Linked DNA regions of Daphnia pulex. The protein of the gene in region 2 binds, or shares a complex with, the protein of the main gene of each other region. Links are inferred from orthologs where the notes say so. Each region holds a gene or a part of one and is shown on either strand. Other genes may lie near its edges.

Evidence for each region.
Region 1: DNA-directed RNA polymerase III subunit RPC9-like (region 2) and DNA-directed RNA polymerase III subunit RPC10-like share a complex: the UniProt entries of both Homo sapiens proteins name them as parts of the RNA polymerase III complex. The link is inferred for Daphnia pulex from reciprocal best matches to the Homo sapiens genes CRCP and POLR3K.

What each region holds. Positions count from the first base shown.
Region 1 is NC_060019.1:12,452,894-12,455,557, reverse strand, and holds DNA-directed RNA polymerase III subunit RPC10-like, read right to left. Parts: upstream 901-2,664; coding exon 574-900; downstream 1-573. Other genes in the region: yrdC domain-containing protein, mitochondrial-like, read right to left, coding at 1-497; feline leukemia virus subgroup C receptor-related protein 2-like, read right to left, coding at 2,101-2,392, 2,468-2,578, 2,652-2,664. UniProt on the Homo sapiens protein: Core component of RNA polymerase III (Pol III) which synthesizes small non-coding RNAs using the four ribonucleoside triphosphates as substrates. Can mediate Pol I proofreading of the nascent RNA transcript.
Region 2 is NC_060023.1:11,614,201-11,616,471, reverse strand, and holds DNA-directed RNA polymerase III subunit RPC9-like, read right to left. Parts: upstream 1,355-2,271; coding exon 1,347-1,354; intron 1,282-1,346; coding exon 1,245-1,281; intron 1,175-1,244; coding exon 1,091-1,174; intron 1,024-1,090; coding exon 871-1,023; intron 807-870; coding exon 720-806; downstream 1-719. UniProt on the Homo sapiens protein: DNA-dependent RNA polymerase catalyzes the transcription of DNA into RNA using the four ribonucleoside triphosphates as substrates.

The DNA.
Region 1 (2,664 bases), on a different chromosome or scaffold from region 2:
GCCCCGAGATGCTCCCAAATCCCTAGAAATTCTTCCACCGATAGAGTACTCTGAGATCCGCTGATGTTGGCGCTAGTCAACGCTAAAGGTTCAGCACAGCTATTTGCCAGTTGACGAATGAACCAAGAGTCCGGAATTCGAATGCCAACAAGTTTAGTTCCGGGGTTGAGTTCAGGATTCAAGGCAGGACTTCTTTCGAACACAAGGGTGACGGGTCCAGGTAAAAGGTCGTGCAGTAGACGTTCATCTACTGTAACGTGTCCCCACTTGGCGATTTCGCTAACTTGCGACACGCAAATAGCAACCGGTTTATTCTTGTCTCGCGATTTGATTTGATAAAGTTTTTTCAAAGCTTCTGAACTTTGGGACAGACAAGCGATCCCATATAAAGTGTCTGTTGGAAGAGCAATCACACTGCCCGATTTCAGAAGCTCCACTGCATTTTTTAGGATGGCTGCGGAGTTCTTGGGCCCAAGGAGGATGACTGGGTTGATCATTTGACAATTTTAAAGGCGATAATGAGTTGAGTTTAACATGAAAAAAAGAAAGTGGGGGTTTGAAGGCAGGTTGTGTCTAATCACGCCACAGGTTGGAGCACTCGTGGTTGCAGCACTTGTAAAAGGTGGTCATAGGCTCATCTGCAGATCGTGTCTGCATCTGCAAAAAGTAAGCTCTTGAATGGTCACACTTGGGACAAGTTGCTTCAGTGGAATCCACATTCTCCCAGGCAGCAACTCCTCCTAATACATCATCCACTTCCTTAAGTTTGGGGAATGATTTGCTGCTAACTTTTCGATTAATGTTGAATACGTAAGGGCAAGTACGGCAAGAGAATCGGAAACACTTGGGTCCTTCTTCAACACCCAAAAGATTTCCACACGTGGGACAGAACATCAACATTTTGATAACTTCGTAAGATCAATGTCTTCTCATTCAAAAACTTCGTACCATAATACAGAGTTTAAAATGCCACCATTTATATCTGCAAGGGAAATCAAGCATCATGTAACTTGAGAATGTTAGATAATAATCATAGTGATGGAATTTTACCTCTAACAATCGCAAATTACCCGTTGAAAAATGTTGCTTCGATTAATGTCGTCCCCTTTTTCCAACATACTTCCGCCCATGCTTTTTCGTCAGCTGTTTAGAAAAAAGCGTTGCCAAGTCGTGGTAACGTAGACCAAGTTCGAAGCGCCAAATCGAATTGCGAATTGCCGATAAATAAACAAATTATTTATTGTTGTCAAGATTTATAATTTATAATTTATAACCTCGTACTCATAGTAAGAGGTAATTTATTTCATGAACTTTGTTCTTTGTTCATATCAGTGATAAAATTCACTCCCCAAACCCCTTTTGGGAAATAAGCTAAGTATTTTTTTTTAAATAATAAAATTTGATGTTGTGGCAAGCCCACAATAGCAAAGTGATAGTAGTTGATGGGGATCCCACCTTTTTTTTCGGGGGAGGGGTTTCACACCCTTCTTTTTTATTGGTGAAAAAAAAAACGTGAACGTGGTGGCATTAGATTTTATTTGGCGCAATAATTGTTAACTGTCACATCATCCAAACCAAATGATTTGGTCAGTTTAAAATGGGTCGTGGTGAAAAGTGAAAACAACTTTAACGTCAAAGGCTCATAAAGAATCGAATGCATAATACTCTGTAATGAAGCTAACTTGGGTTTGAACTTTGCTTTCCATTCCCTGCATTGTACGGAAGACAGCAATTTTACTACATTAGTAATAACACAGAAATGTAAACTCTTTTAGACCGGAACCGAAAGAGAGAGGCTATAAGCTATATATATAAGTATACATACAGTCTATAACTATCAATCACTTTACTTTTTTTTCCCCCATTGAAATCGTCGTAACGGATTCACGGTATAGCCGCAAACTTTGTGCAGCAGCCAATCACATTGAAGGAAGCAACATTTTGAAATGGCAGATAATACAGTGACACAAAGTTTACCTAACTACATATCTATAACAATAAGCAAATCAACTTGTTCGAAATTGCGTGAGGCAAATGTGGCATCTCTTGGAGACAGGCAAAGCTCTTACTGGTGAAGCTCAGAGAGTCGATTGATGACACTTAGATAGCTTCGTTTGCTCGAAACGCTTCCATCTGGTTGGCTCTTTGGCGTCTGAGATCCGAACGGATGAACAGCGATAGAGCAGCGCCGAAAAATAGTGCTGCCGACAAACTTCCGTTACAGACCAAATCGCCGTAGTTGCTCAAGAGCCAACCCCCGATGATTGTGAAGACGATACCAAATACTTGGGCGGAGGCATTCAGTAAACCAGACGACGTCACTTCTGGCTCAGGGTACGTCAATTCAGCTGCAAACTCGAATCCAACAGGCAGATATCCAGTCATAAAGAACCTTAACCAAATTATCACAAATGTTACGAAATCTTTTAGAACACATAAGTAATATTTAAAAAAAAAAGCTTATTACCCTACAGCTCCGGCCGTGACGAACGTAATGACGATATATTGAAGTTCGAACGTAAAGGTGTAGGCGACCATTCCGGCCACTGCTAATCCATACACCACAAGAGTTGTTTCCCTAAATAAAACAGAACGCAAAAGTCAGCTGCATATCTTGCAAAAATAGAGTATCACGCATTTTCTTTTTTTACCTGAATTTGTGCG
Region 2 (2,271 bases):
TTGATTTCATTCTTGTGTTTTTTTTTCTTTCATTCTCCCTTTTAATCTTATCACAAGTGACGAACTGTAAAGCGACGACGATGTAGTTAAACTTCCCTCCTGGTCCTGAAAAATAGCCGAGTTCGAATTTTCTTTCTTCGAACCCCCCAAACCCCACCATTTGTCATGTGTCTGTTGTGTATTTAAGAAAAAAAAAAGTCCTGAAATATCTCCCACGTCTTTTTGTTTTTTTCTCTCCGACCCCCTTTACCATTTACTCTTCCTCCAAGGAGTTAGCACTCGGGCGATATACACACAAAATATGTTCTCCATATTGATTCTGTCCATCTTATTTTGATCCCGTCATTACAATAAATGAACAGAAATGTGCAACCAAAATGACAATCTTATTTATTCAAGTGATGTCTAACCTAGAATCAAGTTTGGTTCACCCCGGAATGAATCTTCTGTCAAGTGTTTCGAATGTTTCCGTCGTTATCCTGCTGTTAATGGTTAGGATGTTGGAAGGAATGTTGATCGACTAAAAACAAATAAAGATAAAATAACGGCTGTCGAGAAACCTTGATGGATAACGGTGGTTTCGTTGGGCACATGGTGTAATGGTTAGGCAATTGAAACATTTCGCTGTCATCTCATGCTTTCTCGGATTTAGTAATTTGTTTACATTCAGAGTTGAGTTTTTAACGAACGTGAAAATGAGAATCGGGGTTAAAACAAATTTATTCTGGCAAAGTATTTTGAATGAGTTCTATGAGCTCCTCAATTTGTTCTTCAGTCAACCGTTCCTGATCTGTAGATTGGACAATCTAAAAAGGTTTGAATCACTGATTAAGACATGGACAATTCTAGTGGCATGCATAGCTTTTATACCAGTGATATTTCAACGTCAGTTTTAGGCCTCAGATTCAAGATCATGGTTTTCTCTTTTTTAGTCAGTCCAAACTTTTTCACATCCTCGAGAAATTTCTTGAAGCAACCCTCAGACTGTACTGCAGCTGGCGTGCCTTCAAGATATTTTATGGCCTATAGGCAAAAAGAAACTGGTGAATCGAAGCAGATACACATTGAAATCATTTGAAAAAATCCTTACTTCATACGTGATGGTGGCTAAGGACCCACTTTGATTCCTGGTTTGGTCTCCTTTGACTCTTGAACTGTTCAAAAGTCCCAGAACCTTGAAGAATGTTAGATTACAAATAAATTATTCAAAGCCACACATTCTCCAGTAAACAGGTTTTACCTACCTCAAAATTGCTAAGTATAGCCGTGTTTGCATCGATTCTGTAACACAAACAAAAAATGGGGTTGAGTGGAAGTTCATGGACAAATTTATACAATTAGCTTACATTTCCATTTCAATTACGATCAGTAGCCAGAAATGCTTGAAGATTCCAAACACGAGCAGATTGTTTTGAAAAAAATGCACGTTTTTTTAGAGAACTTTTCTTCACGCTGCAGTTGTAGGCAACGATGTCATTTGGAAACCGCGGTAAAATTATTTCGATTTCAATTCAGTTTTATCAATTCTATCTATTTAAAGAAATTTTGAAAATAATCCAGCAAGTATTATGTAATTTTCGTTTGATCAAAATTATCTTGTGGTTTTTAAAGGCACGAAGAGGAAGCAACGCTGTAATTGCTGTCTGCTAAATATTGGTAAACATTCTCTTTGGATGAGGTTTGCAATGTTGAAATCATGTCGTTGCTTTCAATTGCTACCTTGATTATTCAAAGAAAAAAGCCGACCGCACCGCAATATCGCAAGGTAAAGGTGCCCTATTTACTCTCTTTAGTATTTGAAGGTTTTCTTTGCTTAATCTACCTCGTGGGCATGTTTATTTCGTAAGGTTGATTCACCATAGTAAGCCATAAAAGATATATATGTTATCTTATCGCTTATCAGCAAGAATCATAGACCTATTACAACTACAGGTGAAGAATACAGGCAAGGCATAATCCTAAATTTTCTGTTGATGTAAATTATATTCTAACAAAGTAAAAAAAAATTGTATAGAGCAATGGATAACCAACCTAGTATTGTTGAAGCAGATGCTGTTCATCATAGGTTGAGTAATCAAGTCAATACAGTCAAAGATTTTCCCTATAGATGCTATGACTGCCCACAGTTATTTACTGCATTGGAAGACTTGGCTCAGCATTCCATTAAAAACCCAACCCACAGTGAAGAAATGTGTTTAAAGTGCAAGAAATCCATTGTTGTATTCTTTACATCTAAATGTGCAGTGAGAATTCACTCTTGTAACAAATCTG